Nothobranchius furzeri: one gene and its partner. The protein of the gene in region 1 interacts with the protein of each later gene in a biochemical or structural test. Links are inferred from orthologs where the notes say so. Each region holds a gene or a part of one and is shown on either strand. Other genes may lie near its edges.

Evidence for each region.
Region 2: the proteins of jund (region 1) and atf3 form a complex in vitro, tested with the Homo sapiens proteins (2 studies listed by BioGRID and IntAct, with this or other methods). The link is inferred for Nothobranchius furzeri from reciprocal best matches to the Homo sapiens genes JUND and ATF3.

The regions. Positions count from the first base shown.
Region 1 is NC_091748.1:65,725,163-65,730,730, forward strand, and holds jund (transcription factor JunD), read right to left. Parts: upstream 3,051-5,568; 5' UTR 2,833-3,050; coding exon 2,011-2,832; 3' UTR 1,793-2,010; downstream 1-1,792. UniProt on the Homo sapiens protein: Transcription factor binding AP-1 sites.
Region 2 is NC_091742.1:15,051,732-15,058,180, reverse strand, and holds atf3 (cyclic AMP-dependent transcription factor ATF-3), read left to right. Parts: upstream 1-1,973; 5' UTR 1,974-2,077; intron 2,078-2,758; 5' UTR 2,759-2,759; coding exon 2,760-3,005; intron 3,006-3,093; coding exon 3,094-3,201; intron 3,202-3,285; coding exon 3,286-3,585; 3' UTR 3,586-4,262; downstream 4,263-6,449.

The DNA.
Region 1 (5,568 bases):
TAATTTTAAGAAATCTAGATAGGCATCTTTTGTTGACCCCATTGGCAGATTATTTTACTCATAACAAGAATATTTGGATTATATTTAATACCTTTTTTTTTAGAAAATACTTAATTTTTCTTTTTGTACTAAAATAAGATAAAATGTCTAAAAGTTTCTTTATTTTTCTTTTGTATATATCTGTTTTTGCAGTGTATAAATAATACCATAGACTCTGAGCTCTTGATCAAAATAGAAATAATCATATTTGTGGCTCAAAATGTTATTTTACCTTCAAAAATATAATAATTATTTAAATAACAAAACTGTTATTATTAGTCTGGGAGGATCAGTTGCCTAATCCATCTTGTATCATAGATTAAGAACATCCTGTATGCAGGTATACTGTTATGACCTTCTTCAGCACCTCTCTCTTTATTCTGCTCTCCCCAACTATTCCATCTTCCTCAGGATCCACTGATTTCCCTCTTTCCTATTGACTCTCTCTCTTTCTTAACATTTTTAATCACAATTGTCCATTTTTGCTCATTTTAAATATATATTTTAAACATTTTCTAAATGCTTTTTTATATTTTTACATTTCTTTTTGTTTTTGTGAAGCGCCTCGTGATTTTTATCTTGAGAGGCGCTATAGAAATGATACTTTCTTCTTCTTCTACTGGCACTTTAGGTCAAAGTAAAACGGATTTTGTGTTTGTGTCAGAATGAGAAATTGGTTTTTTAATCCCTTCCTGGGAGCAGACAGAAGAAAAACAGTATTTTGAGAAAGACCAAGAAAAACCTTCTTAAATCTGTTTCATGTGCTATAATCAATAACATTATGTTCTTCAAAACTCAATTTAATCAGATTTAACCCCCCCCCCTTGCTGTTGCTTCTGTAATTCCTAAAATAACCAGCAGAGGGGGCAAGACACCAATCATGACACGCAGACTGCTACACCCAGTCACGTGGTCGGGATTATTACACAACATGGATTTCCAAAAATTTTGGCTCCACGGAAGGAGAAACCTTCATCAGCTCTATGAAAATGAGTCAGAAAAACTAACATCTATCCAGTTTTATGAGTAACTGATGATGTCATATGTGGTTTCTGTTTCATTGAGACTTCCTTTAATGAAATCAACCATAACAATTATGGTTACAGGATATGTTTTGAATTCATTGGTAACAATTAGAGGAAACATTTGGATTGCTGAGCAGCGTTTAATTCAAACACAAAGGCATGAAGTCAAATAACTGAAGGCTACAAAGTAACAGCAACAGTCTGTGCAACAGAAATATTCTTCACATTTAAAACACAACGAAGTAATGACAATTTGGTAAAAATAATAAAAATAAAAGAAAGACATACACAAAGTCTGAGTATAATAAACACTGAATATATGGCGCCACTTGGTGCCCAAGCTTGAGGGCAACATTCGAGTTAGTCAAAAACATGCAAATCTGTCTACAGAAATACAAAATAGGATAAATGATTATCCCTCACACACACACACACACACACACACACACACACACACACACACACACACACACACACACACACACACACACACACACACACACACACACACACACACACACACACACACACACACACACACACACACACACACACACACACACACACGAGGTAGAACATGATTTCAATCAACTGAAGGCATCTGTTCTTCATTTCAGCCAATGTCCAATAAACTAATTATTAAGACATGACAAAAGATTATAATCTAGTGATCCGCTGTCATCAGGCAGCTGCATAATAAATAAAGATATTTTCGTTTACATTGGCCGATATCATTGTCAAAGTCCCTTTAATATGACCGCTATCTCATGTTCTACCACGCATGTTTACATGTTAACAATCCCAAATAACATTTTAAAGCAGCCGATTAGTGATGGCAGCCGGTTTGGCACACATATCCGGGCTACATGTAGAAGAAACCAGCATCTAGAACGTCCATGGTGCTTATATGCTGGTCTGTAGCCCAACAGGAGGTCTGTCCGTCCCACTAGTGTACTTGGACTTCATGTGGCAGCAGCTGGCAGCCGCTGTTGACGTGCGTGAGAACTTTCTGTTTCAGCTGGGCCACTTGCTCCCTCAGCAGGCTGGCCGTGGAGGCCAGGTCGGTGTTCTGGGTTTTCAGCGTTTTCACCTTGTCCTCTAGCCTGGAGATCCGCTCCAGTTTGCGCCTCCGACACTTGGAGGCTGCAATCCGGTTTCGGAGCCTCTTCCTCTCGGCTTTGATGCGCTCCTGTGAGTCCATGTCGACGGGGGACAGCGGCGGGCTTTCCCCGAAGCTCTGCACGTCAGGGACGGTCTGAGGCTCCTCCTTCAGCGGCTGAACCCGAGAGAGCTCCTGCTGCAGCGGGGCTGCCCCCAAGTGATGCGACGGAGGCGGCGGGAACGGAACCGTGTCCGTGGAGTAGTTGACCGTGGTTCCCAGTGGCCCACTCCCGTAACTGTTCAGATTCGTGTAAACAGGTAGTTCCGGCTGTATGGTAACCGGGGCGATGTTAACACCAAGGTCCAGAGTGTTGTTGGTCTGCCCGGTTCCGTTCAGCTGGTTCTGCTTGTGTAGGTCTTCCAGCGCCTTCACGAAGCCCTCGGCGAACTCCTGCTCGTCCGTCACCGTTTTCGGGTAGATGAACTGGGAGCTGGTCGGCGTCGTGGTGACCATCCCATTGGACTGGATTATTAGCCTCTCCAGCTCCGGGGAGGCGAGCTTGAGCAGCCCCAGGTCCGGGGAGTTAAGGATGTTCTCGGCGTCACGAAGGTGCGGTTTGAGGTCAGCGTCGTCCGCCAGGCTCAAGCTGATGTCCTTCTTCATCATTATTTCCGTTTGAGAAAGGAAAAGGCTGCCGGTTCGACGCTACCTCAGAGCGGCGTCCTACCCATAACCCCAGAGAAAAGACCTGCGGCGGGAAATATCTGTTGTTATATTTCAGGTTTAATCTTCACTGCGCTCAGGTGACACCGCCTTGCTGCTTCTACGAAACTGAGGACTTGCTCGTGCGCACCGCCTCGAGCCTTTCTAGACTCTTACGTCCCTTTGTGGCACGTCAGAGCGCGCACATTGGGCAGAAATTACGTCCTCCGTAAAAGAAACAAGCTGAACAAAGAGGAGGCAACTGACAGGATGTCTCACTCGGCGCGTTTTGTCGGTACCCGAACAATAAATTACAGTTATCTGACTGTTTATGGATTTATTTTGTCTGGATTAGTTTTGCTTTTTATTATTATAACAGTTGGCATTGGCTACAACTTCAGTATTTCTAAAACGGTGTGATACTGTATGTCATCGAAATAAAAAAGACGTTTTAAAACTTTTGAAAAGTAAAAACATCCATTATTGTATAGCCAGAAAAGGCAGCTTTATTTTTGTAGCACATTTCACACACAGAGGCAATTCAGTGGGGTTTCCATTGGCAAGACTAGAATTAACATTAAAATCAACGTGACAGCACCATTTAAATACACAAATTCGTTTCAGATTTAAAAAAAGAAAAAGTTAAAGAGCAAGTCAACCCCTGTCAGATTCTTACTCAACTCCCTCTTCATGTTTGAAAAATGCAACAAATGCTGTTGCCTTGCAGACCGAGAGAGCGGAGCCGCAAACCAATACACACACACGCAGGCTCACAACGACATTGTGACATCATAAGGACCAGTTTACATCATAGCATACCTCTTAGCCAATAGCAGTGGCAGATTTAAATTCAAATGCAGTGCAGAGTTTTTACCTGACGACGGCACAACACTGACAGTTTTAGGCAGAATATTTAAATTTTAACTAAGATGCACTGAAGTGCCAAATTATTGACTACACGTGTCTGCAGCACAATTAGACACGCATTTATGTAGTTTATCAGCAAAAAAAAGTTGATTTGGGGGTGACTTGCTCTTTAAAAGGTGAGCAGTTACAGTGCAGAAGGTGCAGCATGAAAACAGTCATAATAGTAAATATGAACATTATAATTAGGCCTACATTAACATGCAAACTTAAACCTTCTATTTGTCAAACTGAATTTAGACAGGCTATTCTACACCATCAACAATAAAACACAAACTAAACCAGCTTTTCTCTGCATTTCTGTTTAGTTAATGTTTGAGAAAAGTTATAATAAATATATTAACATTTCTCAATTTATTTATTTTTCATTTTTACCGACAGTTCCAGACATAGTTCAGCAAATTAAAATAAAATAACATAAAAAATGCCCTTTTTAAAGGATTAAGCTCAGCTTTTTGCAATAAGTCAAAATGAAAGAAAACATAAGACAAATGGTCTAAGTGTCTACCACACTATTTACAAAGTCCCTGGGCTTTTCCTTTTTACTGGATTGTTTTTCTTTGAAAAGAAGCCTCAACCACGAGTGGTCCTTTGGGGTTTACCCAAAACACACAACACTGTATTTACACGCATGTCCTTCCCTCTCTCAGTCCTAACATGTGACTTTAACTTTAGTTGTTTTTGTTTATGATGAGCTACTATGCAACCCAGAGCTAGAGTGTTTCCAAGGTCAAGAACGATTTTTTACTTCCTGCAGAGTTGTTCTTTTTTATTATAGAAGATCTTTGGCTATATTTCTGTTGCCAAGGAGAAGAGAAATAAAGACAAACACTGAGGAGTTACAATGATATTTGATGCCATGATGAGTTTTTTTTTTTTACTTATAAAATCTGGAAAGTTTAAAACATGTTTTCATTGTCAGAAACTGAAACAACAACAAAAAAAAGAACATTTAAATACAACTGGTCAACGAAATGAACTTGTGTGATGTCGCGTTGCACAGAAAACTAATGCAAATAAAATTATAGACTGTTTAGCTTTGAAGCCCATGTTTTATAGTCAGAACTTAAAGATTTAATTAATATTTGCACAAGAGAAGCTGGTGTTGGAACTGAGCAACAGAAAATATAACACCTCTGTGTGGTCAAAGCTGACCCAGATAAGATAGATCACTTCTCCTTTCAGCCTCCAGTGTTTCTGGACTTCAGCGTTTGGGGAAGTTGTGTCTGAAACTTGGTTTGGTTTCAACCTTTCCTCTGGTCAGTCAGCAGGTTTTGGTTTTTGGCCTTGTTCTGTTTTCAGATTTAACTGTTTCTATTCATGACGCTTGTGCGTTTCATCTCAAGCATTTCCAGTCACATCTCTCGCTGCCTTACACCTTCATAAACACCATGGCTGCTTTCAGTAACAGAGAGTTTGCTCTCTAATCCTGCACCACATAAGCTTTGTACAAAGATTAAACGTTAAACATTTCCCTACCTTGACCACACTCATATTCACAAAGCAGCTACTGAATAAACCAGTACAGCAATTGTTCCAGAACAATGCAGTTGCCTTCACTTCTTCTCCAGCCTGCGGAGGGTTACAGAGAGGAGGTTTATGCGTCACAGGTAGGCCCCATCCATCTGCAAAGCTGTGTGCGGGCGGATCACATGGTAGACCCTGTGATGTCACATCTCTTAACACGGGCAGAGATGGAGGTGGTAATGTGTGTCTGGGGGTGGGGTAACCAACAGAAGAGACATTTATGTCTAAAAGCTGTACATCAGTGTGGAG
Region 2 (6,449 bases), on another chromosome or scaffold:
AACGTCTCTTGGCTGATCGGGAACGTGACGATCTAATTCCAGGTGCTTCGGGTGAAGGTGCAGCTTCAGCTGAAACCTCTAAGGTTCTGATCGTCTGAAACACCTTTGGATGAGTTTTCCTGCAGCCTGAGGCTGTTTTGGTCTGTTTCTGTAGCAGCGGCCGACGTTTGCACCTATCTCTGACCTTTAAACACAATAAGACTCCAGATCAGCAGCTTTATGGGACCTGCTGGACCTCGGAGCCGGAACGTTGTTCGTCTGATTATTCACACATTTATCGTGTTTACAGCTGGGTGTTTTTGCACCATGAAAGCCTTGTTTTGTGTCCCAGCTCAGAATTCCTTGGAACCTGTGGAGGGTGTTTGGATGAGGAGGATCCATGCTGATCAGGTTTCATGTCGGGTTTCCTGTTGCAGAATTCCAAACACCCTAAAGAAATCTTTTCTAGAGAAGCTGTCAGAAAGTGAAAGTTATTCTTTTTGAATTATTTACCAGCAGCTGAAACTGGAAGTTTCTTTATTACTGGGAAAGTTTCAGCAGGAAGGGAGGGAGGGGCGATTGAGGAGCTGGCGAGAAGTGATGAAACGGGTCACAGAAAAGTTTCACTTTGATGTATTTGTAATATATAATGTTATATTATTATTATTATATTGTTATTACAATATAATAAACACAAGACAATTACTAAAATAATAAAACAATGTTGATCACATGACTGACGTCCAGTCCCTAGAGCAGCAGCCCTCTACAACTGGGCCGAGGCTCGGTACCGGTCCATTAAATATTTTTAAAAATTCCAGAAATATTAGTTTATATGCAGTTGTCCACAGGAGCTTTTATTTTGAAAATTAGCAGTATTAAGCCTCCAAATATCCCAGATTTTAATTCCGTTTAATTTTATTTTTCGTAGTTATTTTTGAGATCCTTATAAATCTTTTACAGGAAATGTTCTCTTAAAATAACCAAAATAAATGGTCTGTAAATAAGGTTAAGAGATCCAGAGATAAACATTTAGAAGTTTTTTCCAAATATAAACATATTTTGTACAATCAGACCAGATCTGTGAGGTTTTTCAGGAAGTGATCCGACTTAAATCCCTTTAATCCTGCCGGTAAAACAACGCAACCTGTGGTCTAACGGAGCAATTTTCCCTGTAAGGCAATGGGTTTCCATGTTATTTGCCTGCTGCTTAATGGTTTTATTAAAGGTTTCAATGAAAAAAGCATTTCAACCAGGATCAAACATTTAAAGTTTCAAAATAAAAGCACAAACAGCATCATGGCCATTATTCCCTGAATCATTTCGAACTTCACTGTTTTCAGGTGACCTCTGACCTTTGGAATCTCTCAACGGGCGACTAAACAGGATCAGATTAGTTAGAATTAAGCTACAAAAACACACACACACACACACACACACACACACACACACACACACACACACACAGCTGAGACACACAAAAAAACTTATCTATAAGCTGATCCTTCTTCCTCCCACCATTAGCTTCTCCAGGCCCTGATGGAGGTGTAACCTCAATAAATAAAACCCATCCGGTGTCATTCAGCCAGAGCGAATCACTTCACGTCCTAATGTGGAATGTTGGGATTGGGAAACTGTGTCTGTGTCAGATCAGTGAGAGCACTCGGGAAGACACGGCGCTCAGAACTTTTAATCATCTGTGATTTCTGCTGCTTTCTAGGAACTTACTCAGAGGAAGTGTGTGTGTGTGGGGGGGGGTGGGGGGTGGGGGGGGGGGTGTTTGGTCTAAAGGAAGGATGGAGAGATGAACTGAAGGAGAGGAAGAGGAGGAGGGGTTGTGTTGTAGCAGATCAGCCCGTGGTTGCCTGGTTGCATCATCACACAATCACATTTATAAATAGAATTACGTCATCCAGCTCAGAGCTGCTCCTCTTGGCTCCTCCCGCCACGTCACAGGCCCCGCCCCCAGCCCGGATCATAAAAGCCGGTGATGCAACCGATTCGGGTCAAACGCAACTCAGAGCAGCGGCGACGAGCGAGGCTCCTGCAGGCGTTCACTTCCTCAACCCGTCCGGACCGTCCGATCCAGAACCAACAGGTAGGCGGGGGGTTCCGGAGGGAGGGGGTGTTTCGGGGGAACGGGGATGTCCCGGTGAGGAGCGGAGCGCTTCCCGGTGGGCTGAATGAAACCATCAGGATTTGATTTATTTAAGAAATAAACGGAAGTTTTTATTGATTCAACTTATTAGATTTGAACTTTGACCGAACTTGTTTGAACTTTTAAAGTTGATTCAAACAGTTTATAGTAAACAAAACGCATAAAATGACTTTAAGATGTTATAATGCAGATTAACTGTAAACGTGAGCCGTTTTCTTATGAAGATGAAATAATTCCTTGATGTAATGGTTCAGATTTAAGTGTTGAGAAAAACACAAAAGAGTCGAACTTAATAAATAAATAGAGCTGCACGTGCAGCTTTCACGATGTTGCTCCTGCTGAGATTCAAACCTGATCATAAATCCTTCTGCTGTGTTTGGGTCAACGGTAACTCCTGCTTTATTCTATTAAGTTCAGGGCTCCTCTAGGTTAGATGTTTGGCTGTCAGCAGAGCTGTTCAGGAACAGCTGATCTTCTCATTAGTTGAGTTTGTTCCTGAGGAGTTACTCAGCCGAAAGAGAGCAGGAGCTGCTCCTTCAGCAGCTTTAGGAGCTTCTTGGATTATTTGATGTGAAACTTGTTGCATATTTGATTTAGTCATTGTTTTTTATTTTTAATTAGAATGATGCTGCAGCATCCTGGTCCTTCTCTGGCCGACATCAGCTGCTCTGCTCTGGTGCCCTGCCTGTCCCCACCGGGGACGCTCACCCTGGACGACTTCACTAATTTCACACCCATCGTGAAGGAGGAGCTGCGCCTGGCCATCCAGACCAAGCGTCTGTCCAACGGGCTGAGCGCCGACGTCAGCTCAGACGGCTCCAGCTCGGACCGGGCCTACGAGCGGCCCTCCGCCAGGCTCAAGAGAGAGGTGAGACGGAGCGAACTCTGAGGTTACCTGGTCTGTTTGTCAGACGGGGATCAGGAGAAGTAACGGCGTCTGTCTCTTTGGCTTTTAGTTGACTCATGACGAACACGAGAGGAGGAAGAGGAGGAGAGAAAGAAACAAGATTGCTGCAGCAAAGTGTCGCAACAAGAAGAAAGAGAAGACGGAAGGTCTGCAGAAGGTAAGAGACTTTTGTTCCCTTTCACTCTGAAACCCAGCTCATGAAGAACAACATTAACTCCTCCATTGTCCCTGTCCTCCTCAGGAGTCGGAGAAGCTGGAGAGTGTCAACGCGGATCTTAAAGCTCAGATCGAGGAGCTGAAGCAGCAGAAGCAGCAGCTGGTCTACATGCTGAACCTGCACCGGCCCACCTGCATCGTCCGGGCCCAGAACGGCCAAACGCCCGAAGACGAGAGGAAGCTTTTCATCCAGCACATCCAGGAGAGCACCTTACAGCTCCACAGCCTCACCTCCTCCTCCTCCACCTCCTCCTCGTTATCTACCGCCACAGTAGCACCTCTGGACGGAGGCGTCCTGACGCTTGACGACATCCAGTGTCTATGATGGTGATGCTGTGAGACTTTCTCCACCTGCGCCAAGAACGAGGAGACGTGGATCAGCTGCTGGAAGCAGCGTACAAAGCCACGTCTCCGTCCTTCACCTCCCAGCTGCTGGGACGTCCTGGACAGAGGACAGACGCCGACGCACTGAAACCAAACAAAAACCCAAACTTCACTGATGTTTTCAATAGTTAGTGGTTTGATTTTTGTCCCGGGGTGATTTTAAGGTGACTGATGCACACAAACCGTTCTGTGGAAAGAAGAGTAGCTGCAGGCCGGTTGAGTTTAACCTGCTGTAGAAAACCTATTTATTAAGGTAGGATGTGATGTTAGCGACCCTCTGAAGCTGCTGCTGCTAACCCCTCAGGACACAGACGTAGATGTTTAACTAACGGGAGTGTTTCTAGTAATAACGGGAATGATTCCGTGCTGCAGCCATGGCTGCAGCCTGTAAACATGACAGGATAATCGTATATGCAGATGATGAACTTCTGTTCTGTTCTCCTGCAGGACTGATTGTATTATTAATCCATCATTTTATATCTGTGTTGAAAAGAAGCTAAAGTGTTATTTCTACTTAATTCTGTTCCCTTTTTGAGCTTCTCAGACCAAAACCGCAATTATTAGTTAAATAAGCATATTTATTAAACATCACATTAAATGTCTCTGCTGAGTCTGTGATCCTGCGCCGTCTCATTTGTCCTTTTGGGGGTTTGGATGGGATTTGTTGTGTTTAGCAGGTTTCTGCTGATGAGGATGGTTTATGTTGTCTGTAGTTTGTGATTTTAGCCAAAGGCCACTTTGTTAAAGAGACGCAGGCGTCTGGTCGTGGTGTGTGTGTCGTTTAGCATCCTGATGCTCGTTAGACACCTCATTTGTGCTTTATTGTGCCTGATTTTGTCACTGAAAGTTGTTTTTGTAGCTGCTCCCAGCCTAAATGAATAAAATGTCAAATATCAGGAACAACTGCACTGCTGCTGCGCACTTCCTGTTGTCACCTGTTGAGCTTTGTTTTTGATACTTTTGATAATTAAAACATGTATTGTCAGTCACACTGTATGGTTTGACTTTTTCTCTTAAAATGGAATGCAGCCAGTACAGAATTCATTAAAAAAGTAAAATAGCACAAAAGGCTAGTTTTAATCTGCATGTGAAACCTGGCGTAGCACCAACAACCTTTCTGTGGTTTTGTTTGTGATGGAAACAAAAGGTCACACTGAAGGAAACGTTTAGTCTAAGTCTCTAAAACGAGTGATCAGCTGTGGCTGCTGCTGTACAAGTGCAGCTGAGAAGTTGCATCATCCCGCATAAATGATGAGACACATTCCTGATAAATGAGTCGGCTTGTTTCTCTCCTGAGGGAAAAGTTTTATGACACAGAGAAACAGAAACAACTCTGGACACGTCGGAGGTTTAACTGAACTTGGATCCACCTGCTCTCACGAAACAACATCTCCATAAAGCTCTTTCCCCTGGTCCATCACAAAACATCCCACTTGTGCTGACACTCCCTAATTTGCACAGCTGTCTGTAGGATTAAGGCCCCGCCCACTCCACCACAGGACTAACAGAGGGTGGAGGACGGCATGTCCCCACTTGAAATGTAGAATCTGATTACATTTGTCTCCACCTGTTGTGGAACGAACAGAAACGTTGAAGTTTCTTCATGTTTCTGTAAACCTGACAGCCTGCAGCCTGTTGTCTCTGAGGTTAGTAGAGGTCATGACCAATGATCAGCTCCATCCTGCAGCTTCTATTCATCCTGATGACTCAGAATTATTATTTCCATAGTTCTAGATTGAGTTGTAATCTGGGAGATCTGCTTTTTACGTATTATTGTGGAAGCCGGCTGCTGGCAAAACTTTATTTTTCGAACACAATTTTGTCACATTTAGCGTGTTAGCTACACGTTTTTACATAAAATTCTTTTTTACACTAATAATGAAAATATCCACACTGAAATATCATGATACATTTCTGTTGTGATACTGAATCAATATTTAAAGGCACAATAAATAAGAACTTTACAGATAAATCATCACAAAACGATCATCTTAGAAGGAAGGTAGTACTGAAACTGATTTACTTCTTAGGTCTTCACTTTTTCTTACAAAATAGACGAAGAGGGACATAATCTGTGTTTACAGTCTGTTAGCGTAGTGTGTTTGCTGAGTCAGCGCTGCAGCGCCAACACTTGTAATTCAACACCGACTGGCAAAACGTAGCAGTGTTTTGTAAAGCTCCAAAGTCAGTAAAAAGGAGCGACCCAGAAGTTAAATCTTGCTCTCCTAGGAAGCCGCAGCATCTTTTTCTAATTTATGCATTATTGGGTGATGCATGCTATGGAGCTCCGGGAGTTGACGTTACTTCTCCCGGCATGCAACAGTTCAAATCGAATGGCGCCATCTTGGCGGGCAGCTGCCCGCAGTTAGGCTGATGTTATTTGCAGAAAACCCAAACTAGAAATGGGAAATATGGTAGATACCTGTTGTGCCCAAGGATGCCATGACAGATGCAGACGAGATAAGGGAAGAGCCGAAATCCCCAAGATGTGGAACACAGCAAACATTGGACCATCGCAATAAACACGCTAGTGACCAGGCTAAAACGAAACTGTGGGATCCCGGGTGCAACCACTTCATATCAGGTAGTTAAACCAACGTTTTAAATGCTTTTATTACGATTCTTAGTGGGCTCCCTAAACTTATTTTGACGTGACTTTTTCTGTCTTGTTGCTCATAGCAATAAGTAAATATCACGCAAAACTTTGCCTAATCATTTGTGATTTCTGCGTGCTGCTGTTTACGTAACCCATTTGTATCCCTCCTGGCTTTTGTACGTCCTTAGCCATGCTCCACAGTAGGACGA